4 linked regions of the Anolis sagrei genome follow. The protein of the gene in region 3 purifies or fractionates together with the protein of the main gene of each other region. This does not show direct contact. Links are inferred from orthologs where the notes say so. Each region holds a gene or a part of one and is shown on either strand. Other genes may lie near its edges.

Region 1 (7,897 bases), on a different chromosome or scaffold from region 3:
ATTGTACTAAATAAAATGAAGTAAAATAAAAACCGAACAGCAAATTGAAATTTCTAGACAAGGCTGAACACTATGAAAGAAATCAAATGCATTGAGCTGATTACCTGTAATTTTGTATCCATAAGCAGCCAGCTGTCCAGCCATATATTCTCCATCTGAGCTATTATGAGAACATCCCCATGTGCGTATCCAAATTTTCTGTACACCTGGAATAATGCTGTCAGATAAAGAGATACAAGAATGTCAATTTCATCCCATAAGAAACATTTGTCCATAGAAGGTTACAGTAACTATCAAGCTGTGAAAGTTCATAAATACCTTTGAGTAAGAAATTGTAGCAACATAATATTTGTTGAGCATTTGTATATACTATTAAAATAAAATATGATAAGCCCTGTAGCAGCATTTAAATATATTAGAAAAAAATATTAGAGAAAAGAGAGCAGACGTGAGAGGACTTAAATTCTTTAGATTTTAAATAGATTTCAAACCTGTTCTGAGTTTACCTGCATTTACTTTGGCTTGGCAACATCTTTTAAAAGATAACACATACCTGTCACTTGGGGGATCATCATCCACTTCTACATTTTTTTGTGAATGGCGTTTTCGCACATTAGGAAGAATGCTCTGTCTTGCAAATTGCCGGTCAAGTGGCTTTGGATCATGGGCTGACACAATATCTTCAATGTCTTCAAGGAGAGAATTGCAGACTGCAGACATCTTCTACAAAAAAAGGATGTACAATATTGGAACAAAAAATACAAAACCATTCAATTGTAAATGCTTCTACATTTTAATTGTTAACCAACTGGAGAATATAAAGGTATTACTAATCAACAGACAAAAACAATAATCCATAACCAAGCATGGAAAATTGCTCATTTTTTTAAAAAAAATAAAGAAGCATATGCTCTGTGAATTCACTCTAATAATTATGGCATTGTGAGACCACAACCTCTGAGTATGCCTGCCATAGATGAAGGTGAAATGTGAGGAGAGAATGCTTCTAGAACATGGCCATACAGCCCAAAAAACCTACAACAACCCAGTAATTCCAGCCGTGAAAGCCTTCGACAATACAATTAAAGACCAATTAAAATACTCAGTAAAAATTAAGAAACAATGGCTGGGTTTCCTGCAATGTAGTTACAGGTTGACAACGTAAGAGTTACAAAACTGTTACTGGACTAAATTCAGACACTTCACTTATTCACAATCAGGGATTATTACCACAATTGTAAATACCCACCAAGCCCAATCTTAAACTCATGGGAGCTGCTCCAAGTGAAAAAGATCTGTAGTGTGGGCACATGAGGTGTTTCAGAACGACACAGGGAACCCCATCCTCTTCCTGGTACAACAAGTAGAAGAAGCTTCTGTTCATTATCCGTTGGCTCAGGGGTGGAAGAGGGCTTGTTACATCCCAGTTCAAGCAAGGGGAGGGGGTAGATAGCTCCTTGTGTGATACTGTTTATTGTTTATTATGTGATTTATATTAATTTACTTATTGTTTTTGTTTATTGCTTTTGTTTATTGATGTACTGTTGGGCTTGGCCTCATGTAAGCCGCTCCGAGTCCCTTGGGGAGATGGTGGTGGGGTATAAATAAAGTTTTATTATTCTTTATTATCATTCTGAAGCATTCCACTCACCACCTTTAAGGATATGATTCATGGGAAACAGCCCTTGCATTTGTGGCCAAAGAGGCTGAATCTACAAGACAGTATTCAAGTTACGCACAAGATGGGTTCTGTAGGTTTGTTTTAAGTTGAATTTGTATGTCAGTTGGAGCAGGTACATTTTTAAATGTAACTCCTGAGATAGATAGATAGATAGATAGATAGAAAGATAGGTCAGCCCTGGCTATCACAAGAAAGGGTTAACACCCCTGTGGTATTCGTTTTCCTTTTTGTGTCCCTGTTCAGAAGATTTCAACTCACTTTCAATCTCTGGGATAATTGGATTTTGAAAAATGTGGCTTGTTGTGGAAACAAGGATGGGTGAAAAGGCTTCAATGGAGACCCCTTTTCCCCATGACAGTAACTTTTTCAGGAGCGAATTTCCCTTCAGAGTAGTAGTTATTTCACTTCCTGCTGTCTCTCGACCCCGCCCCCTTCTTAACGATGAGTTGTTTATAAGTTGGATGTTTATAACTTGAGCACTGCCTGTACTCTGCCATATAACCCTGTACCTGCTTTGAACTGGATTACACGAAGACTGTCATATAATCTAGTTGAAAGCAAATAATCTAGAAACAGAAACTGGATTATATGGCAGTGTGGATCTAACCGGAGTGACGATTTTTCACCCCAATGAGATTTGGAAAAGCTATGGCACAACCACCATATCGATACAAGTAAGTATTCTTTGCCTTAAAACCCCTATGGAACTCATGGGGTAGCCATAAACTGACAGGTGACTTACTACTTCATCACACTGGAGAGAAAAAATCCACTTTAAATCCGGTTTCTGCCTCCTGCAGAATTCTGGGGTTTGTAGTTTAGTGAAGCTGTTAAAGGCTCCTCCTTAAACTACAAACCCATGAATTCTACAGGAGGCAGAAACCGGATTTTGAGTGGATTTTTTCTCTAGTGTGATGAAGTAAGGCCCATATCGGCCCACACAGCAGCAAGCAAAGAAAGTATTTTTTTGCCACACGGCGAAGGCCCCACCCTCAGGAATGGGGGACAGGACGGCCCTCCACGCATAGCTGAACTACAACTCCCAGCACTCCTCACCGACGGCTTTCCCAGCTGGGAATGATGGGAGTTGCAGTCCATCTGGAGACCTGCGCCCTTCCCCAGCCACCCAAAGGGCGACCCACCGCCAAAGGCCACCCGTTTGGCTCCCCCCGCTCTCGCAGCCCCAAAGAGGAAAAAGAAACAACGCCTTTCGGAAGGAGAGCAGCTGCACGAATGACAACACTCACCTGCAAAACCCAAGCGCGGTCTTTACTTCCACATGGGCGACGCCATGATGAAGCCACGCCCCCTATTGCGTCGGAAACACGGACGGCACGGCAGAAGGGACAAAATTAGTCGCTTTCGGATTCGCGAAACGAGGAGAAGCGCTCCTTTTCAGAGGATGGAAAGGGGTCAAAAGAGGTGACACTCCTCTTCTTGGAAACTTTCTGGAGCTGAAGAAAGACTATCCACGGACATGGATTTTACTTTTTAGTACTTCCCTGTCCTATCTGTAGCGTTTAATAATAATACATCATTATTATTATTATTATTATTATTTTACTGACACAAGAACACAGTAAGTCACAGCAAACGAGATATATATATATACTGGATTTCATATCACAAAATCACGAGTTGAACACTTCCCAAGCATCTAGGACTGTGATGTACTTTCGAATGATGCGCTCAGATCCAAGTAAGGTGGCCTTTTGCAGTTGACAGATCGTGGTTTTGTCAATGTTTCAATTGTTTCAAAATGCCAGCTGAGGTCGGCACCCAGTGTGCCCATTACCACTGGGACCACCTGGACTGGTTTATGTCAGAGCCTTTGCAGTTCAATCTTGAGGTCTTGATAACAGCTGAGTTTTTCCTGTTGCTTTTCCTCAATGTGACTGTCACCCGGTATGGCAACATCAATAATCCAAACCTTTTTCTTTTCCACAATTGTGATGTCTGGCATATTGTGTTCCAAAACGTTGTCAGTCTGGATCCCAAAGTCCCACAGTATTTTTGCATGTTCATTTTCTACTACCTTTGCAGGTCTATGATCCCACCAGTTCTTTACTACTGGTAGGTGGTTATTATAAAAAAACAAACAAACAGAAAATACACTTATTAGCATGCCTGACAGGGGTGCACCAATAGTGTAGAATGAATGCAGTTGGACACCACTTTAGCTGCCATGGATCAGTACTATGGAATAATACAAATTGCAGTTTGGTGAGCCACCGGTACTCTTTGGCAGAGAAGGATAAAGACTTTAAAAAACTACAGTCCCCATTATTTCCATAGCATTGAGTCATGGCAATTAAAGTGGTGTCAAACTGCCCTACTTCTACAATGTAGACAGAATCATAGGGTTGGAAGAGACCTCGCGGGCCATCCAGTCCAACCCCCTGCCAAGAAACAGGGAAATCGCATTCAAAGCACAAAGATCAACAAAGTGGGGGGGGGGGGGGGGGAGAGGGAGATTGAGAGAGAGAGAGCTGAAAATAATTTGAAGGATTGGAAATGGGAGAAGAGAGTTCCCCAGGACAATTTTACAAGGAAGTGTGTGCAGCATTAACAGGATCAGTGCAGGTCCAATAGACAGGGATGATGCCAGATTTTTTTTCAACTGTGTAGACAGTCTTTTCTCTAATCAATCTAGAATTAATTTTTCTCTCATCTATTATTGCAGTAACAGCATAGCAATAATAGAGCAGAGCTACAGCTCCAGTTGTCATTTCTATTCTGAAGCTCCACTTTCATGTCAAGCTCCACACAACACTCCCAATTTTCACTAGGGCTCTTCCATACTTCTCTACCCGTTTTCAGGAGCTGGGATATAACAGATTACATATCTGATTTGATTCAATGTTTATGCTGCAAGAACTGAAGTAGGAAAGAGTCGTTTAGTTGTTTGAGCTTTGAACTATGACTGGAGGAAACCCATGGGCGAGTCAAACTCTCCCAGTCTCAGAGGAAGACAATGGTAAACTACCTGTGAATCAAGTCAAGAATAAAAATCAGTGATTTTTATTACTCTGCCAGGGCTGCTGGATTTAGATGGGGGAAAGGACTAAATCAATAGCAATAACCAGGGTTCATTCCTAGCTCAGTAATTTCAGCCTTTGCATCAACCATATGCTGCAGGACTAACTCCTGAATGAAACCCTGGAGAGTTACTGCCATTCCCTTGTGGGAGTAGCAGGTTAGATAGACCATAAGGCAGCTTATCCTCATATAGTTCCAATAGTTATTATAATATGCGTTATAGCCCATTACTTCTTAAACTTGGGTCCCAACCCCAAATGGTGTCCCCTGAGCTCAATGCTGGGGTCCCAAATCTGGCAAGAGTAAACTTTTCTGAATGTCACCTAGTGGTTGTTTTAGACCAGGGGTCCTCAAACTTTTTAAACAGAGGGCCAGGTCACAGTCCCTCAAACTGTTGGAGGGCCAGATTATAATTTGGGGGGGGGGGGGACACATGAATTCCTATGCACACTGCACATATCTTATTGTAGTGCAAAAAACCACTTTAAAACAATACAATACTTAAAATGAGGAACACTTTAAACTAATATAAACTTATTAGTATTTCAATGGGAAGTGTGGGCCTGCTTTTGGCTGATGACATAGGATTGCTGTTGTGTGCTTTCAAGTAGTTTCAGACTTAGGTTGACCCTGACTGAGGCCAGGTAAATGACCTTGGGGGCCATATCCACTCCCCGGGCCTTAGTTTGAGGACCCCTGTTTTAGACAATAGTTTCCAACCTTTTTTTGACCAGGGAGTACTCTGCAACACTAGTACCAAAAGGCCTGTGAATCAGTTTTTGGTCAACTCTAGATTTGATTTGGTTATTTGGGGTGCTGATTCAAAAACCTGCATTGGATAGACCACATCAGCTCTAGTTTCTTATACAGACAATATGCCATCCAGTAGTCGCCATCTGCTCACCCACAGATAACCATATTTAATAATCTACAGCTGGTGTCATCTATCCAAGGGGGCCGGGATGGCCAGTGACAGGGAAGTAGAGGCAAGCCCTAGGGCTGAGAACGGCGGTCAACAAATGCAGTAAATGCAAAAGGAGCGGAAATAAAATAAATAAATAAGGAGGAAGGAGGCTTGCGGACCAGATTTTAGTCCTCATGGCCCACTGGTGGTCTGTGGCCCACAGGTAAGGAACCACTGTTTTAGACATTTACATGAATCTGTCGTGTAGTGTTTGCAGTGGCATCTGTAGAAGATGTTTCAGCTGAACTTCATAAAATGGAAAATAAGTCTGTTAAGCAAGTCTTGCAAATGCTGATTTATTATCAGTAAATGTTTGGTTTTTATACCTATTTCATATACTTGGGATTACATAAACATTTCTAGGGCTGAAAAGGATTGTGAGTGGAGAAGTTTAAGAAGCCCTGGTACAGCGAAGTACATTTTACTATCTGTATAATCAAGTGGAATGAATGGTAAGCTTAAGTACAATATGCCGCTACATTTAAAACCATCCCATTTATCAAACTGCTAAGAAAACACAGGCAGCCTAGTCACTTTGCAACATTTTGCTTGCTGCCCCTGCAAATGCCATTTTTGGTGAAAAATGCATTTAAAATTCAATGATTTCCTGATATAAAGCTTTATTTAATACCATAAAAATGGTGAGTTACATACATTGGAAGAGGCAAGGTCACTGCTTGAGAACAGGTCCATCTATACAAATGCAAAGCTGTTCTTGGGCTTTATTTGTTTTTTGTTTTTTTACATTATTTTACAGATTTGTAGAACTAGCTTACTCAAGGTTAGTATTTTGCCCAGAAATTGACGTAAGTAATTTGTACAAAATGGTGTATAACATTTTTCCCTTTCATTTCATTCTTCCTACAGCGGTGCCCTTCATATTGTAAAAGCATTCATGTTCACACAAACCTTTTAATTTCCTCCACAAGACAAACTTTAAATACTGTATTTTTTATTATTTACAGACCCACGTTATTTTTTTTCTTCAAGAAATTACAAACCAGCTATAAAATTCTGGCAGGTTTTATAAATTCATTCCTATTGTACAAAATTGTTAGATGACTAAAATATCAGAACACACAACTTAAATATCCAATGAACTATGCACATGTTTGTACATATATAAAAAACACACTTAACACTGTTTAACAGTTCTTAATGTGTTGCTCTTTTTACACAATTATATTCCAAGACTCAATCATACAGCTTTCATACTTTTACTCAGCTATTTCATGTGTGTCTATAGCAGCATCTCAGAGGTACCAGAAAACCTGCAAACATATTTATATATAAAACACAAACATTTTAGTATTTTATTAAGTATCAGATAGAAAAAAAAGCTAATGCAAACTGTTTGGGTTATTCAACCTATTAACCTAAAATGGCAACATTTTACACAACTCCGGGTGCAAATTCTATTCATGTCAGAACATACACTATACCAGTAAAAGAGTTATAAATTATTATTCAATAAAGTGGGTATTAAAAGGTGTATTATTTACACTTTGGGTGAAGTGTCGGCTTTGTATCAGCTCCCAAAACTGGAAGCAGAGGCAATTAACCCACTAAAACAAACACAGAGTTTTGAAAAGTGAAGCATGCCATAAATATCCTTTTGCAGAAAAAGCCCACAGTGCAATTCTTGTAGGCACTTTAAAACCGCCCAACTTTGTACCGCAAACTTTCTCTACCAGTCTTATTGCACACTGCAGATAGTTAAACTGAATGGTGCATCTTTGTTTACATTTTAAAAAAAAAATGACACCCTCACATCTACTTCTTTGAAACTTCCAGTTTTTTAAAATAGACAAAATGGTCACCCTGATCTATCTAGTGGTTAATATGCATTTGGAAGTCCCACACAAGTATTTCAACAGGATGGACAGCAGGATGCATGTCACAAGCTCCATCCAAAATAGGGGGCTGTGGATGAATAGCTCTTTGGGGAAAGATAAGTGAAATCCTACCAAACGACTGTTCTGTTGGAGGGGAAGGGGTCTACATAAAATCTATACCCTGCCTAATTTCCCTTCCCTGCCAAATAGAAGTAACACAGGATTTCAGTTCTCCAAATAGTTACAAAAACACATACTTGGCTGCTCCAAATACCCAATGGTATACTGGAACCATCATCTCTATGTTTCATCTAGGACTGTAAGACATTTAAAGTGTATTTTACAAGAAAAAATGATTTGAGGAAATTAATTCCCTCA
Region 2 (7,670 bases), on a different chromosome or scaffold from region 3:
CCCTTCTTTCTTCCCACACTTTCTCTTCCTTCCTTCCTTCCTTCCTTCCTTCCTTCCTTCCTTCCTTCCATGCCCTTATACCTTTCCTTCTTCCCTTTCTCTTTTTTTCTTGTCTTTCTTCCCTCCTTTTTCATTTATCCTCCACGGTCCTCTCTTCTTTTAGTTTTCTCTCTCTTTCCTTCCTTCCTTCCTTCCTCTCATACATTTGTCACCTAGCAACAGTCAATCTGCTTCACTCTATAATATTATATATTATTATATTATATAATATTCACTATAATATGAACCCCAAACCTTCAATTTCCAGTTAAGAACCACCTCTCTCTGTAAGTCCTGTACTTTTTGTGCAAGTACACTCTAAAAAAATATGAAAACCAAGGAACCAAGCAAACAAACTCAAACAACATTGTTTGTTTTTTTTTTAAAAAAAACTGTATAAAAGGAAGTACTTTTGCTAGAAGTGGGAAAGAAAAGGGAAGCATTTTTCACAATAGGGGGGTTTACATGGGAACCAAACCACTATATACACTTTGTCAGAGTTTACGGAAATACATGCAGATTATCAAAACATAATGGATAAATTTTGCCATGCAGCTAAAATGGTGCAAGGACAATTTATGGTTATCTACACAGTAGAATTGATGAAGGTTGACACCACTTTAACTGCCATGGCTCAGTGCTAATGCAGTTTGGTGAAGCAACACAATTTGACTCCTGTATCAATAAGGTAGTAAATTCATGCAAGTTTTAAAAATTCATACAATGATGAGCTCTCCAAGGTCTTTAACCCTATTCCTAAATCAGTACAGCACCTTGGAGAGCGACTAAAATAAATCAGTGGTCTGGAGATCGTATTCTTTGAGGAGCCGCTTAAAGTTCTGGGTCTTAGCTGCACAAAGAAGAGGAGACATGATCGTCATGCTTAAATATTTGAAAGGATGTCACAAGTATCTTCAAGTATTGACAGCTGACTCTTGGTGATCCTATCAATTTCATTTTTTTAAGGCAAGGAATACCCTGAGTGGGTTTTGCCAATTCCATCCTCTGAAATATAGCCTACAGCACCCGGTATTTCTTGTTGGTTGCCCATGCAAGCACTAACTAGGGCTGACACTGCTTTGCTTCCACAATCAGACAGGATCCGGTGCTCCATAGAACAGTATTAATGCCCACGAAAGCCATTATTTATTTATCATGTCAGAAGCAAATTGGGAAAAGAGTTATAATGTATAGGGAAAAAAAACCAGGTTAAAACTTGGCATTGCGCTAAATTTCCTTTGATCAGAAGCTGGTCACTTGGAGTGCCTCTGGTGTCGCTGTGAGAAGGTCCTCCATTGTGCATGTGGCAGGGCTCAGACTGCATTGTAGTAAGTGGATCATGGTTTGCTCTTCTCCACACTTGCATGTCATGGACTCCAATTTGTAGCCCCATTTCTCTGGTGCCAGAGCGCAGCCTGTTCAGTGCCTTCCAGGTTGTCCACTCTTCTGTGTGCCCAGAGGGGAGTTTCTAATCTGGTCTCAGCCACTGATTGAGGTTCTGGGTTTTATTCTGCCACTTTTGGACTCTTGCTTGCTGAGGTGTTCCTGCGAATATCGTACGAATATTAGAAAGCTATTTCTTGATTTAAGGCGTTGGTTTACTGGCTGATATCTGAACAGAGGGTGAGCCGGAGATGTCAATGCCTTGGTTCTTTCATTACAGGCTGCTACTTCCCGACAGATGACAGGTGATGCACTACTGACTAAACAGTATAATTTCTCCAGTAGTGTAGGGCATAGATATCCTGTGATAATGTGGCGTGATAATCTCACCATAAATTGGAATTGTCTGGAAAACATACAAGGAAGGAGCTTATTGTGGCTGGTGGGATCCTGGGGATTTTATGTATTTTTATAGCATGATGTTTTACTGTGTTTGTTTTTGATTGTATATCTTGAATGTTTCACCCTTTGACAGCAAGGGTATTATAAACAAAGGTTATTATTATGACTTCATGCAAATACTGGTAGTTTCCCCACCCATTGCTTTTCTGAATAATAAAAAATAATACTTGCCAATGCAAATGAAACAAATTATTGAACCTATATTGGGTACAAGGGTTGGCATTGTGGGGAAACTTTAATTATGTTAGACCTGCAAAATAACTCATTATTTTTACATTGCTGGCAGAATTGCATGACACTTCTTCAGTATAATCCAATGCAGACATAGAGGTGTGTAGGTAGTCCCTGTGTTGCAAACATCCGACTTACAAATGACTCATAGTTAAGAACAGAGATGAGATGAGACAAGAGGAAGTGAGAGAAACCTTCTCCTCGGAGGGTAAATTTACCCCTGGAAGAGTTATCATGAGGAAAGAGTGCCTCCACGGAAGCTTTATCACCAATCCTTGTTTCCACAACAAGCAAGTTTTCCAATGGTTACAGGGGTGTTAACTCTTACTCTAGGAATGAGCTCCCTCTATCAGCTCCAGCTCCTCATGCGGGGACATGAGAGAAGCCTCCCACAAGGATGATGAAAACATCAAATCATCCGGGCGTCCCCTGGGCAACGTCCTCATAGACGGCCAATTCTCTCACAACAGGAGTGACTTGCAGTTTCTCAGGTTGCTCTTGACACAACAATTTTTTTTAAAAAAAATTGTTTTACTCTATTATTATTTTTATTACATTTGTTATTTGACTCTCTTTATTATTATTGAAGGTTAGAATAATGGTTTAATCAAAGTTGGACAATCTTATCTTAAATGACAGTTTTATGTAAATATTCAAAAACATTTAACCTACTGATGCCTCAATTAATGTAATTTTATTGGTATCTATTTTTATTTTGAAATGTACCAGTAGCTGCTGCATTTCCCACCCTAGGCTTATACTTGGGTCAATATGTTTCCCTAGCTTTTTTGTGGGAAGATTAGGTGCCTCGGCTTATATTCAAGTTGGCTTATACTCAAGTATATACGGTGTGTGTGTGTATGGCTGAAGTTACACGTAAAAATGTACCTGTTCAAACTGACATACAAATTCAACTTAAGAACAAATCTACAGAACCTATCTTGTTGTAGCGTGCGGACTGCCTGTACAGCCTGTTTCCTTTTTTTTTTTTTTAATATAAATAAGGGAAATTGATGGGTGAGATTAAGAGATTAAATGAGGAACTATGAATTCATCTGAAAGAAAAGTGGAGACAAAGATTGCGGGTTTTGGCTTAAATTCACACTTAACCAAATTTTCATTAATTGAAAATCAGAATTTCTCCCCCAAGGGTCTTTCCACACAGCCCTATATCGCAGAATATCAAGGCAGAAAACCTCATATTATCTGAGTGTGGACTCAGATAACCCAGTTCAAAGCAGATATTGTGGGATTTCCTGCCTTGATATCCTGGGTTGTTGTTGTTCATTCGTTCAGTCATTTCCAACTCTTCGTGACCTCATGGACCAGCCCACACCAGAGCTCCCTGTTGGCCGTCACCACCCCCAGCTCCTTCAGTCACTTCAAGGATGCCATCCATCCATCTTGCTCTTGGTTGGCCCCTCTGCCTTTTTCCTTCCATTTTCCCCAGCATCATTGTCTTCTCTAAGGTTTCCTGTCTCCTCATGATGTGGCCAAAGTACTTCATCTTGGCCTCTACTATCCTTTCCTCCAATGAGCAGTTGGGCTTTATTTCCTGAAGCATGGACTGGTTGGATCTTCTCGCTGTCCAAGGCACTCTCAGAACTTTCCTCCAACACCACAGTTCAAAAGCATCTATCTTCCTTCACTCAGCCTTCCCTATGGTCCAGCTCTCACATCCGTAGGTGACTATGGGGAATATCATTGCTTTAACTATGCGGATCTTCATTGCCAGTGTGATGTCTCTACTCTTCACTATTTTATCGAGATTGACTATTGCTCTCCTCTTAAGAAGTAAGTGTCTCCTGATTTCCTGGCTGCAGTCTGCGTCTGCAGTAATCTTTGCACCTAGAAATACAAAGTCTGCCATGGCTTTCACGTTTTCTCCCTCTATTTCCCAGTTGTCAATCATTCTTGTTGCCATAATTTTGGTTTTTGTTGTTGTTTAACTGCAATCCAGCTTTTGCGCTTTCTTCTTCCACCTTGATTAGAAAGCTCCTCAGTTCCTCCTCGCTTTCGGCCATCAAAGTGGTGTCATCTGCATATCTAAGGTTGTTAATGTTTCTTCCAGCAATTTTGCATTCATCAAGCCCCGCACATCGCATGATGTGTTCTGCATACAAGTTAAAAAGGTTGGGTGAGAGGACGCAGCCTTGCCGTACGCCTTTCCCAATCTTGAACCAGTCTGTTGTTCCGTGGTCAGTTCTGACTATTGCTACTTGGTCCTTGTACAGATTCCTCAAGGTGGCTTGGTATGCCCATCCCACCAAGAACCTGCCATATGTATTATGATCCACTCAATCAAAGGCTTTAGAATAGTCAATAAAACAGAAATAGATGTTTTTTTTTAAACTCTCTGCCTTTTCCATTAACCAGGGCTCTGGATATGGCCTTTGCCCTCCTTCCGCCACATCTTTGAGCTTCAGGAAGACCTTTTGCGCCTGCGCGTTAGATGACGGCTTATTTTTCTACCCACACTAAATATGCCGGCGGTGGCGCCTCCGAAGGCATACGCATGCGCAGCGCAGTCGACGGCTCGCGGAAGAGTCGTTGCTTCCTTGTCACTCTCCAGTGCGCTGGCCAATGAGGAGCGGGTTGGCATGGCAACAAGGCACTGGGCAGGCACGCTCCTCCCCTGAGCTTGTTGGCGGGAGAGTGCTGAGGGAGTCAGGAGAGAGGTGAGAAGTGTTTGGGGAGGAAAAGGGGGAAATAGCGGATAATGGGAGTTGGGTGCCAGTGGGAGGAAGGTGTCTCTGAAAGGAAAGAACCTATAGTAGTTATTTGAAGGGGTGAAAGTTCAAACATGTTTAGGGCACCATTGAAATGAGTGGGAATGAGGTGCCTGAACTGTAAATGGAGTTGAGGCCTACCTGGGAAAAGGAAACTGGAAAACTAGAACAGTTGGGGATAAGGTACTCTTACTTTGGGGGGCGCGGGGGAAACGACTACAACACTCAGAATCCACGAGCCCCCTTTTCAGTGGAAGGTGGGAGTTGAAGTACAAAAAAAGATTAACATTTCTAAGGTTATAATGACATAAATTATTGAACCTATGTTGGGTACAAGGGTTGGCATTGTGGGGCAACATTAATTACGTTAGACCTGCAAAATAACTCATTATAGTGGGTTTGTGTGAAAAAGGAGAATGAAATAATTACCCCAGAGGATAGGATCTGACACCCAAATGACCTTAACAGATTAGAGAGCTGGGCCAAAACCAACAAAATATAATGTAATGTAATGTAATATATTGTATATACATATAATATTATAATGTAATACAATGTAATACTACTAATAATGTGATATTATAATTATATATTTTATATTACATGTAACATTACTAATAATATTACAATATAATGGTATAGTACAATATAGTAATATATAGTACTGATATTCTACCATGCTAATAATATAATATATTGTGTATATATATATATATTCTGTAAGCCGCTCTGAGTCCCTTTCGGAGTGAGAAGGGTGGCATATAAATGTTGTAAGTAAATAAATAAAATAAAATAAATTGCAAAAGGGAGAAATGTTCCATACTCATTCAAACAAAAAAATGAATTGCACAGGTATTAAATGGATGACACCTGACTTGAAAACAGTTCGTGTGAAAGGGATCTGGGAGTCTCAATAGACCACAAGGAGCCACAGTGGTGCAATGGGTTAAACCCTTGTGTCATCTGAACTGCTGACCTGAAGGTTGGTGGTTTGAATCCGGTCACTGGGATGAGCCCCTGTCTGTCAGCTCCAGCTTCCCATGTGGGGACACGAGAGAAGCCTCCCATAGGGTAGTAACACATCCGGGCATCCCCTGGGCAACATCTCTATAGACGGCCAAGTCTCTCACACCAGAAGCGACTTGCAGTTTCACAAGTCTCTTCTGATACATTTTAAAAAAAAAAGACCACAAGCTAAACACGAGCCAGCCATGTAATGCAGCAGCTCAAAAAGTCAATGTGATTCTAGGCTGTATAGTGTTTAGATTGAGGGACCTGTTTTAGAGACTATTTTATGTATATCTTGTACAATTATAGAATGGTGAAATTGAAGGGGATGTAGGAAATCCTGGGGATGTAGGAAATCCACAACTTAAGTATTCCCGGCAGAGGCTTATACAAGCTTTGTTTAAAAACTGAGGCTGGATCTACACTGCCACTTTATTTATTTATATATTCAATTTATATACCACTTTTCTCACCCCAGAGGGGGGACTCAGCAGTTCACATTACAAATGGCAAAATTCAATGCCTCACAAGTATAAAAGCATCATATATCAAATCAACAACATAAAACAATAAATCAAAACCATTAAAGCTATACAACTGTAAACAACAATCACAGACACAACATAAAACATTTAAACCTTGCATCAAACCCGAGTTGTCTTTAGCTACTTCCATAATGCAGATTAGCTGTGTTAAACTGGATTATATGACAGCGTAGACTCTTATAATCCAGTTCAATGCAGTTAATCGACATTCTGAAACTATATTATATAGCAGTGTAGATCTAGCCGGAGAGGTCCATCATCTGCCAGAGTAATCCATTCCAGTGTCAAACAGCCCTTATGGTCAGAGGGTTCTTCCTTAATACATTGTCAAAAACTTCATATAGTCTAAATTTATTGACAGCTTTTTGCCTTGGCATCAATAGCACTTCCATTTATCTCTTACTGTGTGAATTAAATAAGACTGAAGCTTTTCATCAATATAAGCAAGGCCTGTACAAATGTGATTATGTGTCTTTGATGAGGAAAAGGCAGTACCACATTTGAGAGGGAAAGGAGGCAAGTGGTAGAACCACCACTAAGCCCTGGACAGCAAAGTGTGAGCAGTTGCTTGTGAAAGAAATAGGCAGTACAGGTAACTGGCACTGAAATATCATACTCTGATTTTGCTGTGAACACATGTCCAAGAGGTGTGTGTGTGGGGGGGGGGGGGGGAGACTTTGGCTTTGATTAGGGAGTGGGCTGGCTGCTGAAAATTATTTGTTTTCTTAGGAATGCTAATATGGAAAACAAAAGGAAGGCTTCTAAAGGAGGCTCCGGTATGGGGGAACCCACGTTGTCCCAACGGAAAAAGTCACGAGGAGCGGACTGGGAGGAAGATGCTCCGTCCCAGTTTGAGGAGGAACTGGCCTTTCTGGATGAGGTGGAGTCTGAGATGGCTTTGGAGGCAAAGGAAACACAGCTGGTACCTGATGACATCCCCCTTGGTGAGTTAGATGGGGACAAAATAGGGAGGACACTCCCTGAGCCGGTGAGGCTGAAGGGTTTTTAGGATGCAGTGAAGAAGCTAGGAAGCCTGTTTTGCATCAATCATGTTGTAACAGCTCTTGGTTTTTAACATGAATATATATTTTCTTTTGTTTTGAAAATTTTGTATATTCTGTGTTACAGGATTAACATTCATTTGCATTCCTTTAGAAATTCATTAAGTCCGAGTTTCTCAAACTGTGCTTCAGATGTTTTGGACTTCAACTCCCACAATTCCTAATAGCTGGTATGCTGGCTGGGATTTCTGGGAGCTGAAGTCAAAAACACC
Region 3 (7,600 bases):
TACCAGGGTTTTTTGAAATTAAAAAAATAAACACAAGGCTGATTTGTTCTGCATTCAAGTGAGTAGAACCTACCTTCATTTGCCCTCCTCACCCCATGCTACTCCCCCAGAAAAAGCAAGTATTACAGTATCATCATGTCTGCTTTGTCAAATCTTCTGAATATCTGTTATATTCTTGCAGTTCTATGAAAAACAACTGCTGCTAATCATGCTGTTTCCAGGCCCTTAAGAATGGTCTGCCTGAAGCCACATCAACACTGACCATTTAATATCATACCAAACCAAACTCCCACAAAAGCACCCAAAATAAATCCCTTAATGAGCTCTTTTGTTTGTATGATCATCATTTGGGCTTTGTGCTGGTTCCAGAATGTCCTATAAAATCATCTGCACAGTGAAAACGCTTTCTTCAATACCAGTTTGAAACAGCTTTAAATTATCAGTGTAGTTGGGGTCTCAATTTGACAATGCTGTGATGGTAGGATACAAGGAAGTGAGCACAGTCCCAGCAGGTCTATTGCAAGAATGAATTATATAAGCACTTCAGCATCCAAGGTAGTTCTGCCTAATCTCGAAGACATCATAGAGAAAACATTTTGTTTATGTGTGTCCTGGACCAATCAAAATTTATGATGGTCAAACTGCTTCTTTCATGCTAATTAAGTGTTACAGAATCTACAAAGACAGTTAACAAAGGCTGCAGCAATGACTCCCAGTGAGCAAAGCACATGAAACTGCTGGCTTTTTATCTGGGTTTATTTTTTTCCTTTTTCTTCTTATACACAAGTCTGTAAGAGTTAGTTAGCAGAAATATTATTTTAATCTGCAAGGCTGGCATTCAGAAGTTAACCCTACAAGCATTGCCTAACCCTATTCCCAGCCCCAGAAAACAGCAAAATACACTTTCCTTTTACCCCAGAAAGAAAATGCCTGCCAAAAGCAAGACAATATTTTAATCAGTCATTAAATTAGACATTTTAGAGAGATAATCAAGAGACTTAGTTCGCTTCTGAACTCCCAGAAAGACACATGTTGAGCAACTGTCATTAGCTGCAATCCAAAGAACATTTACTAGAAATAAGTTCTACTGAGCACTATGGGACTTATTTATGAATACTTTTAGGACTGTACACTCTAAGGTTTATGTGTTGTACAAGGTACACTCCCATTGTAAAATGGGAGGCCCGCCATTTTTTATCTTCACTCCTCTTTTTATCTTCTAGTACAACTGTAAATATAATGTGGTCAAGTGTGAGAAAATTACCCCAGGCACTGCACTTTGACCTTATGTAGAGCTATCAGGTAAGATCCAAGTTGAACAAAATTTGGCTTGGATATAAACAGGGAATTTAATCACAGAAATTTTAATCACAGATCTATAGGACCATCAAGCAGGATGCTTTCTTACACAGTTGAATCTCCATCACAGGGATCCTTAACACTACAAGTTTTGTCTCTTTAAAAAAAAAAGTCGCGAATTGGCCGTCTGCAAGGATGTTGCCCAGGGGACACCCAGATGTTTTACCTCCTGTGGGAGGCTTCTCTCATGTCCCTGCACAAGGAGCTGGAGCTGACAGACAGGAACTTACCCTGCTCCCCTGATTCAAACTAATGACCTTTAAGTCAGCAGTCCTGTAGGCACAAGGGTTTAATCCATTGAGCCACTGGGGGCTCCTTCTTTAAATAATAAAAGGTTGCAGTACTCAGGCTTTCCATGTCAGAAACATTACTACATGCATCTGCTTCAGCCTTCTGGCTGTCCCTGGATGAGCAGTATGCACACCCAAAAAGCAGATGAGCAGCATCTGCTCTTGGATACTCAGGGTCAGCTCCTTCTCAAAAACAAAACAAAACAAAACACAGGGATGCAGAAGACTGATAACATGCCAGAGCTTCTTATTTACATCCAAGTGAAGTGCTAGCTGAGGTGGACAAAGAAGAAAGCTTCAATGTTTTTCTTTTCCCTTCCCATCTTTTCAAATTTTCCATTCATGTTTTGAATGATTCTATGCTGCATATTTAACAACAAAATAATTTTGGATTTCATTTGAAGAAAAAGTAGAATGCAATAAAGGAAGGAAACAATGCAACAATAAAGGAAGGAAACAATTTTGGTGCAAATTTATACATGTAGCAGTCGGCATGGTTAGCAACAAAAATGTAGCTGTAACAATGCTAAACACAACCTTACCCACAAGAACAAATAAAATGAAACTATTCTCAGGAGCACATCGGAAACTATGATTAACACACATCTACAAGCTGGCCTTCTTACTGCTTGGAGATAATAGCCAATTGCCCCCACTCTATTTTCCTTATTCTGAAGTATGTAGATGCACAGAAATAGAGAAACTGATGCCTTATTTGACTACACATGATCTTGACTCATTTTGATCAGGATTTCATATAAGTCACTCCACTGAAATGGCCTTGACATATGATATTCTAACAGCTCAGTGTCAAACATCTACACTGTAGAGTTAAAGCAGTTTGGCACCACTTTGAGCTACCATGGCTCAATGCTATGGAATCATGGGAGTTGTAGTTTGGTGGGGGGCACTCACAGCCTCCAGCAGTGAAGTTGCAAGACCTTGTAAAACTACAATTCCCATAAAGTCAATAAAATTGAGCCATAGCAGTTGAAGTGGTGCCAAACTGTATTCATTCTACATTGCAGAACAGGCCTGGGCCAACTTGGGCCCTCCAGGTGAAAGGGGCCTGAGGCTGTTAGGAATGGTGGGAGTTGTAGTCCAAAACACCTAGAGGGCCCAAATTGGCCCATGCCTGGAGTAGATGCTCTCCCCCTTTCAAGCATCTCCTTCCTCCCGCTCTAAGGCATCCCTCCGCTCTTTTCTACTCCAGCCCTACCTTCCGCCGCCTCGCGGGCCGCATTTTCCCGCTCCCAGCCCTGCAACGGGGAGGCAGCCGCCCCCAGGTCCCCGCCCGCCCCGCCGGCCGCCATGATCAGGCCGAGAGTCAGTAGGGCGAGGAGAGGCCGCGACGGCGCATGCGCGTCTCTCTCCCTGCCTGTCACGTGGGACAGCCTCCCAAGGCCAAGCTCCAAGCAGGGCGAGGGAAGCGGTGCTGCCTGGTCCCATTGACTAAAAGCGCACACTTTACAATAGACCTGGGCAAACTTTGACCCTTCAGGGGATTAGGACTTTAACTCCCTAGGAATTGTGGGAGTTGAAGTCCAAAACTCCTGGAGGGCCGAAGTTTGCCCAGGTCTAATAGACTTAACCAGGAGCCACGCAGTCATGCCGGCCACATGACCTTCGAGGTGTCTACGGACAACGCTGGCTCTTCGGCTTAGAAATGGAGATGAGCGCCACACCCCAGAGTCAGACATGACTAGACTTAATGTCAGGGGACTACCTTTACCTTTTTAATAGACTTAACACAGTATTTCTCAACCTGTGGGTCCCCAGGTGTTTCAGCCTACAACTCCCAGCAATCCTTCCCAGTTTACCAGCTGGGAAGGTTTTCAGAAAAAACATCTATTTCTGTTTTATTGACTACTAGCCATCCCCTGCCATGCATTGCTGTGGTCCAGTCTGTATATATGTGTTTATTGTGTCTATATTTGTGTATATGTGTGTTTGTATGTGGTTTTGCACATCTGTTGTAAAAAAAATGGTTTTTGGTTTTTAAGTCTCTTCTGCTGTGTTTTTCAGTGTTTTTATGAGTGATGGTCACTTGTTGGCCTGAGAGGTGTACTGTGTCCAAATTTGGTGTCACTTCGTCCTGTGGTTTTTGAGTTATGTTGATCCCACAAACTAACATTACATTTTTATTTATATAGATTCTAAAGCCTTTGACTGTGTGGATCATAATAAATTGTGACAAGTTCTTGGTGGTATGAGGATATCAAATCATCTTGTCTATCTCCTGAGGAATCTGTATAACAATCAAGTAGCAAAAGTAAGAATTGACCATGGAACAACAGACTGGTTCAAGATTGGGAAAGGCGTACGGCAGGGCTGCATACTCTCACCTAATCTATTCAGCTTGTATGCAGAACACATCATGCAATGTGCAGGGCTTGAGGAAAGCAAGGCTGGGGTGAAAATTGCTGGAAGAAACATTAACAACCTTAGATATGCAGATGATACCCCTTTGATGGCCGAAAGCAAGGAGGAGCTGAGGAGCATTCTAATCAAGGTAAAAAAAGAAAGTGCAAAAGCTGGGCTGAAGTTTTTTTAAAAAAAAAAAACCCAAAGATTATGGCAACAAGACTGATTAATAACTGGCAAATAGAGGAAGAAAACGTGGAGGCAAAGATTACTGCAGACACAGACTGCAACCAGGAAATCAGAAGTTTACTTTTGAGGAGGAGAGCAAAGGCCAATCTTGAAAAAATAGTTAAGAGTAGAGACATCACACTGGCAAAGAAGATCAAAATAGTTAAAGCAATGGTATCTCCCGCAGTAACCTACGTATGTGAGAGCTGGACCATAAGGAAGGCTGAGCGAAAGAAGATAGACGCTTTTGAACTGTGGTGTTGGAGGAAAATTCTGAGAGTGCCTTGGACCACAAGAAGATCCAATCAGTCCATACTTCAGGAAATAAAGCCTGATGCTCATTGGAGGGAAGGACAGTAGAAGCAAAGATTAAATACTTCGGCCACATAATGAGAAGACAGGAAAGCTTAGAGAAGACAATGATGCTGGGGAAAATGGAAGGAAAAAGGAAGAGGGGCCGACCAAGGGCAAGATGGATGGATGTTATCCATGAAGTGACTTGCTTGACTGAAGGAATTGGGGGTGGTGACAACCGACAGGGAGCTCTGACGTGGGCTGGTCCATGAGGTCACAAAGAGTCGGAAGCGACTGAACGAATAAACAACAAACATTATTATTATTATTATTATTATTATTATTATTATTATTATTATCTGCCTTGATATTCTGGGTTATATAGCTGCGTGGAAGGGCCCTAGAATAAACATAGTGAGGTTTTAAAAGTGATGCAGATCCAAGATTTATTTCAAGTGGGAATGTGACAAAGGAAAAGCAGAAGGCAAAGGTGATTGACCTTTGTTCCTGTTTGTTGTTTTATAATGTTCAACATTTTGTTCAAATATACTGCATTTTACTGGATGGCTTTATAGAAAAAATACACATACTGAAATAAAGAATTGGTTTGCTGATGGATCAAAGATTTTAACCAGTGAAGAGTAACATCCAAAAAAAGTACCATTGGCTAAACGAGATAAACAAAGAGACTGAGGGTCCTTCCACACAAACACATAATCCAGAATGTCTGCTTTGAGCTGGATTATCTGGCAATGTAAATTTAGATAATCCAATTCAAAGCAGATAATGTGGATTATCTGCTTTGATATTCTGGATTATATGGCAGTGTAGAGGGGCCCTTAGTATTATGTCTAAATCCCACAAAGTTATTGATATCTTTAAAAGGTTAGGTCACCGGGACTTGTATGTGTGAGGGAGACTGTTACAGAGGGTTTGATCTCATAATTTTGTCAACTGGCTGGAACAATATTTATTTTGAATATATGCTTTTGAGATAACATCCAACATTAAGATTAGAAACTCATTATAACCAACTGTAGTCTTCCCATTAGAGAACAGAAGAGTATGAGCTCTGTATCCATGGGTTTCGTGTATCCATGTCTGACAAATAGGTCCTCTAATTTTCTAAGCCCTCCAGTGTGACTCTAGCTCTTTCTACATTGCCATATAATCAAGATTATCAAAGCAGATAATCCACATTATCTGCTTTGAACTGGGTTATATGAGCCTACACTGGTATATAATCTGGTTCAAAACGGATAATCTAGATTTTATATGGCAGTGTAGAAGGAGCTCCAATCATATTCTTAGACAGATGTCCTTCATTTCAATAGAAATTAAGATTACTAACTGGGGCGACATACAGGGAACATACCTCCCCCCTGTTGTGCCAGCTCCACTGGCTGCCGGTCCATTTCTGAGCCCAATTCAAGTGCTGGTTTTGACCTATAAAGCTCTATATGGTTCTGGCCCAGCTTACCTGTCCGAACGCATCCACCCCTACATCCAACCTTGTAATCTAAGATCATCCGGGAAGGCACTGCTCTCGCTCCCGTCAACAGCACAAATGCGTCTGGCGGGGACGAGAGGCAGGGTCTTCTCGGCGGTGGCTCCCTGCCTATGGAACACACTCCCAACAGAGGTAAGATCGGCTCTCTCCCTCCTGGCTTTCCAAAAGAAATTAAAGGCATGGTTTTGGGACCAGGCTTTCAGACATTAGATATAGCAGCACTTTAGAGGGACATGACTGGAATGACAATATGGCTGACAAGACTGTTTTACTGTTTTAATGATTGCTTATGTATTGTTTAACTATTATTTGTGTCCAATTGTGATTTTATTATTGTAATTGTCATGTAGCGGCCTTGTAACGGGGCACATTGTAAGCCGTCCTGAGTCCCCCTTCAGGGGTTGAGAAGTGACGGGATACAAATACGGGAAATAAATAAATAAAATAAAATAGCCTCAGATTTGTTTATCCATGCAAAGTTGACACACACAGATGCAGGGCTTGTTATGCATTGTACAACCTGCCAAAACCCTAAATGGGCATATTTAATTTTGAGATATTTAGACATGTTCCTTGGATACATGAAATATAGGTATATACTGACAGACTGCTGGTGATTAGTCGTATAAAGGAAAGGGTTTTTCACTTCCAGCAGTTTAATAATAGCAAGTAAAAATTAAATAAATTCCCTTTCAGGGCTTTATGTCAGTCACTTATCTCCCAGCCTCACTGTTCATTTCCTGTAAAGTAATTATTTTACTAAATTTTTTTAAAGCTCTGTTGGTAGTTAATTTATTATTTATGACCACATCTTAGTGAAGCTCTGCTAGGCAATTTTAGCACTGTGTTAGAATTACTGATCTGGAATCACTCAGATATAGATTTATAAACACATCCTAGTCTATGCATCATGAACTATAACTGATGATTAGCTCTGCTTCCTTAGCCAGCATTAGTATCTCAAATCTGCACTCCAGCCACTATTTTGCACCTGCTTCTAGCTGGTAGATCTCAGAATGTTATTTAAATGCTTTTTCCTCCATAGGCTATAGCAATCAGATTATTTATTAATTAAGTGTAGGTGAACCTCCAATTGTTTTAGACTTCAACACATAGAAGTTGTAGCCTAATGTTCAGGAATTCTGGCAGCCGAAACCACACAATCTGGAGAACTAGAGGTTGAAAACCATTGAGTTAAAAATGTACCATTGACAACAGAAGGTGATGATCTCAGCAGTGGGAGAGACAACAAATGATGGGGAGTGCTGGGAGAAGCAATGGCATCACACAACAGAGACTGTGCAAATAGGGAAAGGAATGGTAACAAATACGGGCAGATAAAACGTCCTTGGCATATTATAACATTCTAAACTAAAAGCAAGGTCATGTTTTCAATTTTCTTGCACTGATTCAGAAAGCTGTGGGAAGGCCAGAGCTCTGTGTCAGAAAACAAACTTTTGAAGATGAAACTCCTCAATTAGTCTCTGGCATCCCAGGGCACAACTAACAAATACCTGGCCTGAAACTAATCAGAACTGAGGGCTCTTCCACACAG
Region 4 (7,206 bases), about 47 Mb from region 3:
CATTGCCCAGGGGACGCCTGGATGATTTGATGTGGGAGGCTTCTCTCATGTCCCCGCATGAAGAGCTGGAGCTAATAGAGGGAGCTCATCCGCCTCTCCCCGGATTCGAACCTGCGACCTGTCGGTCTTCAGTCCTGCCGGCACAGGGGTTGAACCCACTGCGCCACCGGGGGCTCCTATTGAAATACTAATAAGTTTATATTTGTTAAAATTGTTCTTCATTTTTAATTACTGTATTGTTTTTAAGTGTTTTGCACTACAAATAAGATATGTGAAGTATAGGAATTCATTCATGTTTTTTTTCCTAATTATAATCCGGCCCTCCAACAGTTTGAGGGACTGTGACCTGGCCCTCTGTTCAAAAAGTTTGAGGACCCCTGATCTAGAACATAAACAACAAGCAACATCATCAAAATTGCATAGAAGATGCAGGTTTTTGTGAAGACCCTGACAGGAAAGACCATCACCCTGGAGGTGGAGCCCAGTGACACCATTGGGAATGTGAAGGCCAAGATCCAGGAGGAAGAAGGCATCCCGCCTGACCAGCAGAGGCTCATCTTTGCCGGGAAGCAGCTGGAAGATGGCCGCACTCTTTCTGACTACAATATCCAGAATACCCTAACCCACACCACTGGAGAAATTACACTGCTTAGCCGATATTGCACCACCAGACATCCGCCGGGAAGTAGCAGCCAATAGTGAAAGGACCAAGGCAGAGACATCTCCAGCTCATCCCCTGTTTGGGTATCAGCCAGCACGTCAACGACTTAAATCAAGACATAGTTTTCTTAGATCTACAGAGACACTCGCTGGAACACCTCAGCAAGCGAGAGTCCAAAAGTGGCAGGCTCAAACCCAGAACCTCAATTCATGGCTGATACTAGATGAGAGACTCTCCCCTGGGCACTCAGAAGACTGGGCGACTTGGAAGGCGCTGAACAGACTGCGCTCTGGCACCACGAGATGCAGAGCCAATCTTAAGAAATGGGGCTACAGGGTGGAATCCTCGGCATGCGAGTGCGGAGAAGAGCAAACCACTCACCACCTGCTGCAATGCACCCTGAGCCCTGCCACATGCACAATGGAGGACCTTCTTGCGGCAACCCCAGAGGCACTCCAAGTGGCCAGATACTGGTCAAAGGACATTTAACCAAATACCAAATTTGCAAAATCTGTGGGTTTTTTTTCCTTTTTCTTTTTAATCTGTGTGTTTGTTTTGCTCTGTTAGAATTGTGATACAATGGTTGCTGATGACACAATAAATAAATAAATATGTCTCCTCTAAGGCTTCTCTTCTTCAGGCTAAACATGCCCAGCTCTTCAAGCCGCTCCTCATAGGGCTTGTTCTCCAGACCCTTGATAATTTAAGTCCCCCTCCTCTGGACACATTCCAATTGTGCAAAGACCCTCCCAGCTATTAATATGACCATGGCTATATCTGCCAGAGTGAAAACTAGAGGCAGCTCATATATCTTGAATGGATGGGTGGTAGGGGCCACCATCTGCTGAGTCTCTACCCACACAGCCCTGTATCCCCGGATCTGGTCCCAGATGATCTGCTTTGAACTGGGTTATATGAGTCTACACTGCCAGATAATCTGGGATCAGATCCTGGGATATAAGGCAGTGTGGGCCCAGAGTCATAGAATCAAAGAGTTGGAAGAGACCTCATGGGCCATCCAGTCCAACCCCCTGCCAAGAAGCAGGAATGATGCATTCAAATCACCCCTGACAGATGGCCATCCAGCCTCTGTTTTAAAGCTTCCAAAGAAGGAGCCTCCACCACACTCCGGGGCAGAGAGTTCCACTGCTGAACGGCTCTCACAGTCAGGAAGTTCTTCCTCATGTTGAGATGGAATCTCCTTTCTTGTAGTTTAAAGCCATTGTTTTGCGTCCTAGTCTCCAGGGAAGCAGAAAACAAACTTGCTCCCTCCTCCCTATGACTTCCTCTCACAGATTTATATAGGGCTATCATGTCTCCTCTCAGCCTTCTTTTCTTCAGGCTAAACATGCCCAGTTCCCTAAGCCGCTCCTCATAGGGCTTGTTCTCCAGACCCTTGATCATTTTAGTCCCCCTCCTCTGGACACATTCCAATTGTGCAAAGACCCTCCCAGCTATTAATATGACCATGGTTATGTCTGCCAGAGTGACAACTAGAGGCAGCTCATATATCTTGAATGGATGGGTGGTAGGGGCCACCATCTGCTGAGGCCCTGTATCCTCGGATCTGATCCCAGATGATCTACTTTGAACTGGATTATATGAGTCTACACTGCCAGATAATCTGGGATCAGATCCTGGGATATAGGGCAGTGTGGGCCCAGAGTCATAGAATCATAGAATCCAAGAGTTGGAAGACACCTCATGGGCCATCCAGTCCAACCCCATTCTGCCAAGAAGCAGGAATGTTGCATTCAAATCACCCCTGACAGATGGCCATCCAGCCTCTGTTTAAAAGCTTCCAAAGAAGGAGCCTCCACCACACTCCGGGGCAGAGAGTTCCACTGTTGAACAGCTCTCAGAGTCAGGAAGTTCTTAGAATCAAAGAGTTGGAAGAGACCTCATGGGCCATCCAGTCCAACCCCATTCTGCCAAGAAGCAGGAATATTGCATTCAAATCACCCCTGACAGATGGCCACCCAGCCTCTGTTTAAAAGCTTCCAAAGAAGGAGCCTCCACCACACTCCGGGGCAGAGAGTTCCACTGCTGAACGGCTCTCCCAGTCAGGAAGTTCTTCCTCAAGAGACCCAACGCTAAAAAAAATCCATGCTGATGCCCTTGCTCTTTGAAACCGCGCGCTTTCCTCATTCCAGGCAGCCACCTGAGCAAAGGAAGAGCCTTCTCTTCCTCTTCCTCCTCGAAGAAGCTCCTTTCCATCAGTTCCTCCAGCGCCGCTTCCTCCAGCTCTGCCCTCCTCCTCCTTTCCTCTTCTCCTTCTTCCTCGACTCGAGCCGCCATCTCCAAAGCAACACAGAGTAGAATGAGGACCCTGGGCCAATCATGCCGGGCCCCTTGCAATACGCATGCGCAAAAGTCGCGCTGGCCAATCAGGCGCCGGGGGCGGGGCTCCTGCTGCGCGCGGGTAAAATCAGACCTCTCTCTTTCCCAATCGCTTCCCGCTTCCCCTTTTGGACGAGACTTGCCAGCGCGCGCCTCTCCTTTTAAAGTGAGTTTGTCGGAGGGCAATAATATTAATAATAATCATCTATATAAATAAAAATGTAATGTTAGTTCTTTCTACCATCAGAACTCAAAAACCACTGGGGGAAATGACACCAAATTTGGACACAAGACACCTAACAGTCCAATTTATGTCCTCCACTAAAAAAAATGTTTTTGTCATTTGGGAATTGTCGTTGCTGGGATTTATAGTTTACCTACAATCAAAGAGCATTCTGAACTCCACCAACGTTGGAATTGAACCAAACTTGGCACACAGTTCTCCCATGACAGTGTTTCTCAACCTTGGGGTCGGGACCCCTGTGGGGGTCGCAAGGGGGTGTCAGAGGGGTCGCCAAAGACCATCAGAAAACATAGTATTTTCTGTTGGTCATGGGGGTTCTGTGTAGAAAGTTTGGTCCAATTCTATCGTTGGTAGGCTTCAGAATGCTATTTCATTGTGGGTGAACTATAAATCCCAACAACCACAACTCCCAAATGGCAAGGTCTATTTTCTCCAAATTCTACTAGTGTTCACATTGGAGAACAAGCCCTATGAGGAGCGGCTTAAGGAGCTGGGCATGTTTAGCCTGAAGAAGAGAAGGCTGAGAGGAGATATGATAGCCATGTATAAATATGTGAGAGGAAGCCACAGGGAGGAGGGAGCAAGCTTGTTTTCTGCTTCCTTGAAGACTAGGACGTGGAACAATGGCTTCAAACTACAAGAGAGGAGATGCCATCTGAACACGAGGAAGAACTTCCTGACTGTGAGAGCCGTTCAGCAGTGGAACTCTCTGCCCCGGAGTGTGGTGGAGGCTCCTTCTTTGGAAGCTTTTAAACAGGGGCTGGATGGCCATCTGTCAGGGATGACTTGAATGCAATATTCCTGCTTCTTGGCAGGGGGTTGGACTGGATGGCCCATGAGGTCTCTTCCAACTCTTTGATTCTATGATTCTATATTGAGTATTTGTGCCAAGTTTGATCAGATCCATCATTGCTTGAGTCCACAGTGTTCTCTAGATGTAGGTGAACTACAATTCCAAAAACTCAATGTCAATGTCCACCAGACCTTCCCAGTATTTTCTCTTGGTCATGGGAATTCTGTGTGTTATGTTTGATTCCATTCCATCATTGATGGAGTTCAGAAGGTGCTTTGATTTTAGGTGAACTATAAATCCCAGCAACTCCAGCATTACCAAATGACAAAATCAATCACCCCCAACCCCACCAGCATTCCAATTTAGGGTGTCTTGGGTACTTGTGCCAAATTTGGTCCAGTGACTGAAAAACACATCCTGCATATCAGATATTTACATTACAATTCACAACAGTAGTAAAATTACAGTTATGAAGTAGCAACGAAAATAACGTTGCGGTTGGGGGTCACCACAACATGAAGACCTGTACTAAGGGGTCGCAGCATTAGGAAGGTTGAGAACCACTGTCCCATGACAAACAGAAAATACTGGAAGGGTTTGTTGGGCAGTGTCCTTAGGTTTTGGAGTTGTAGTTCACCTACATCCAGAGAGCACTGTGGACTCAAACAATGATGGATCTGGACCAAACTTGGCACGAATATTCCATATACCCAAATATGAATACAGATGGAGTTTGGAGGAAATAGACCTTGACATTTGGGATTTGTACTTACTGGGATTTATAGTTCACTTACAATCAAAGAGCATTCTGAACTCCACCAATGATGGAATTGAACCAAACATGGCATGCAGGACTTCCATGACCAACAGAACACACTGGAAGGGTTTGGTGGGCATTGACCTTGAGTTTGGGAGCTTCTGCAAAGGTGTTTAGAGTGGCTTGTAGATCTTCTGAATGCATACAGACAACATTGTCATCAGCATACTGGAGTTCTATAACAGATGTTGTAACCTTGGTTTTGGCTTTCAGTCTGCTGAGGTTGAATAGCTTGCCATCTGTCCGATAGATGACTTCCACTCCGGTGGGGAGCTTCCCATCAACAAGGTGAAGTATCATAGCGATGAAGATGGAGAATAAAGTTGGGGCAATAACACATCCCTGTTTGACCGGATTCCACCTTAAATGGGTCACTTTTGGAGCCATTGCTGTCCCATCCTGTTGCCATCATGTCAAAGACTTTACTTTATATAATTATATGATAGCACTTTAATGTGTTTATATTAGTGTATTATTGATATGGTGTTTTTAAATTACTGTGTATGAACCCCTTGTTGTAAGCCGGCCTGAGTCCCTCGTTGGAGGTGAGAAGACCGGTATATAAAAGTTCTAAATAAATAAATAAAAGTGCATTGCATTGAGCCATGGCAGTTGAAGTGATGTCAAACTGCATTAGTGCAGATGTACCCTTGTGCCAAAGGATTAGAAAGTTGCCCGAAATAGTTGAGTGCTGTCATTAGAGTGCTGTATCTAGAATTAAAGCAGAAATGTCATGGCTCAATGCTATGGAAACCTGGACTTTGTAGTTTTGGAAAGCAACTTAGCTTTTACACAGCCATATAATCCAGATTAACAAAGCAGATAACCCAGATTGTCTGCTTTGACCTGGATTATAGGAGTCTACACTGCCATATAATCCACTCCAAAGCAGATAAACTGAGGGCCCTTCCACACAGCCCTATATCCCAGAATATCGAGGCAGAAAATCCCACATTATCTGAGTGTGGACACAGATGGCCCAGTTTAAAGCAGATATTGTGGGATTTTCTGCCTTGATATTCTGGGACATAGGGCTGTGTGGAAGGGCCCTAAATTTTATGTGGCAGTGTAGAAGGAGTGTGAAGCAACCACTCTATTGGCCAAAGAGCACTGTAGAAGGTCACAGGAAAAGAAACACCGGTTTGGGCCAGTTTACAAAGCCAGAGGCAAGGAACACGGCTGGGAGAGATGTCAGATTTAAGGTTCTGCCATGAGCCCCTGGAAATATTGCAGACGCTGCAGGCTTTTGCTTTCAATAGGTCTAAGAAATGGCCTGAAATGTTTAGCCAAGAGGCTTATCTCGCTGGCTGCTGTAGGCTGGTATGTGCCACTTCCGAGATAACAAGAGTGTTGACATTCATAGGTAATATGAGGAAATGCACAAAGAAAATCTGAAGCCTCTGGACTCAAGGAAGGTGTCCAAAGAACCTGCTTCTTGTACTCTTGTGTTTCTGAAGATGCTAGAAAGTTATTGAGGACAAAGTTAAGGAATGGACTGTGGGCTTATATTGCTGCAAAACCCGCTAAAAGTTTAATATCATCTTGGATATTAAGATTACTTCCTTGCATATACACTAGACTCTCAATTAACTGGAACTCAAAAGCAACCGACAAAAGTTTATTGGTGGCCACGTAACTAAAATTGCATACTACATTCATGAGGCTATTTTAATAATATAGTAAAACTGAGTTACATTAAGTTTGTCTTTATGTGCCCTCATTTGCTTTTATTTACAGTATTTCAACATTAATATCAAATCAATACAGAGGTTTTGGTATGGTATAATATGGGGTGTAGTATTAGTTTAGTTAGGCCTATTTTTAATACTGGTAGTAGATTTCATGGAGCCCCCGGTGGCGCAGTGCCGACTCTTGATGCGCAGGTGTCAGCGGTGGCCAGGAGGGCCTTTGTGCAATTAAAACTTGTGCGCCAACTGCAACCTTACCTCGTGAAGTCTGACTTGACCATGGCGGTCCATGCCTTAGTTACCTCCAGACTGGACTACTGTAATGCACTCTACGTGGGGCTACCCTTGAAGACGACCCGGAAACTACAACTTGTGCAACGTTCGGCAGCCAGATTAGTAACTGGGGTGACTTACAGGGAGCGGTCAACCCCCGTTTAAGGAGCTCCACTGGCTGCTGTTTATTTTCCGGTCCCAATTCAAGGTGCAGGTTATCACCTATAAAGCTGCAATGCACCCTGAGCCCTGCCACATGCACGATGGAGGACCTTCTTGCGGCAACCCCAGAGGCACTCCAAGTGGCCAGATACTGGTCAAAGGACATTTAACCAAATACCAAATTTACAAAATCTGTGTGGTTTTTCTTTCTTTCTTTCTTTTTCTTTT

What was found.
Region 1: the proteins of MMS19 (region 3) and CDKAL1 purify together in Homo sapiens (affinity purification with mass spectrometry; 4 studies listed by BioGRID and IntAct, counting the BioPlex papers as one, with this or other methods). This does not show direct contact. The link is inferred for Anolis sagrei from reciprocal best matches to the Homo sapiens genes MMS19 and CDKAL1.
Region 2: the proteins of MMS19 (region 3) and POLD1 purify together in Homo sapiens (affinity purification with western blotting; 3 studies listed by BioGRID and IntAct, with this or other methods). This does not show direct contact. The link is inferred for Anolis sagrei from reciprocal best matches to the Homo sapiens genes MMS19 and POLD1.
Region 4: the proteins of MMS19 (region 3) and DNA2 purify together in Homo sapiens (affinity purification with mass spectrometry; 3 studies listed by BioGRID and IntAct, counting the BioPlex papers as one, with this or other methods). This does not show direct contact. The link is inferred for Anolis sagrei from reciprocal best matches to the Homo sapiens genes MMS19 and DNA2.

What each region holds. Positions count from the first base shown.
Region 1 is NC_090024.1:78,905,101-78,912,997, forward strand, and holds the start of CDKAL1 (threonylcarbamoyladenosine tRNA methylthiotransferase), read right to left. Parts: upstream 3,021-7,897; 5' UTR 2,929-3,020; intron 724-2,928; 5' UTR 721-723; coding exon 554-720; intron 218-553; coding exon 105-217; intron 1-104. UniProt on the Homo sapiens protein: Catalyzes the methylthiolation of N6-threonylcarbamoyladenosine (t(6)A), leading to the formation of 2-methylthio-N6-threonylcarbamoyladenosine (ms(2)t(6)A) at position 37 in tRNAs that read codons beginning with adenine.
Region 2 is NC_090026.1:28,159,343-28,167,012, reverse strand, and holds the start of POLD1 (DNA polymerase delta catalytic subunit), read left to right. Parts: upstream 1-4,664; 5' UTR 4,665-4,698; coding exon 4,699-4,793; intron 4,794-7,126; coding exon 7,127-7,341; intron 7,342-7,670. UniProt on the Homo sapiens protein: As the catalytic component of the trimeric (Pol-delta3 complex) and tetrameric DNA polymerase delta complexes (Pol-delta4 complex), plays a crucial role in high fidelity genome replication, including in lagging strand synthesis, and repair.
Region 3 is NC_090023.1:217,825,306-217,832,905, forward strand, and holds the start of MMS19 (MMS19 nucleotide excision repair protein homolog), read right to left. Parts: upstream 3,001-7,600; 5' UTR 2,963-3,000; coding exon 2,869-2,962; intron 1-2,868. UniProt on the Homo sapiens protein: Key component of the cytosolic iron-sulfur protein assembly (CIA) complex, a multiprotein complex that mediates the incorporation of iron-sulfur cluster into apoproteins specifically involved in DNA metabolism and genomic integrity.
Region 4 is NC_090023.1:170,563,875-170,571,080, forward strand, and holds the start of DNA2 (DNA replication ATP-dependent helicase/nuclease DNA2), read right to left. Parts: upstream 3,005-7,206; 5' UTR 2,960-3,004; coding exon 2,823-2,959; intron 1-2,822. UniProt on the Homo sapiens protein: Key enzyme involved in DNA replication and DNA repair in nucleus and mitochondrion.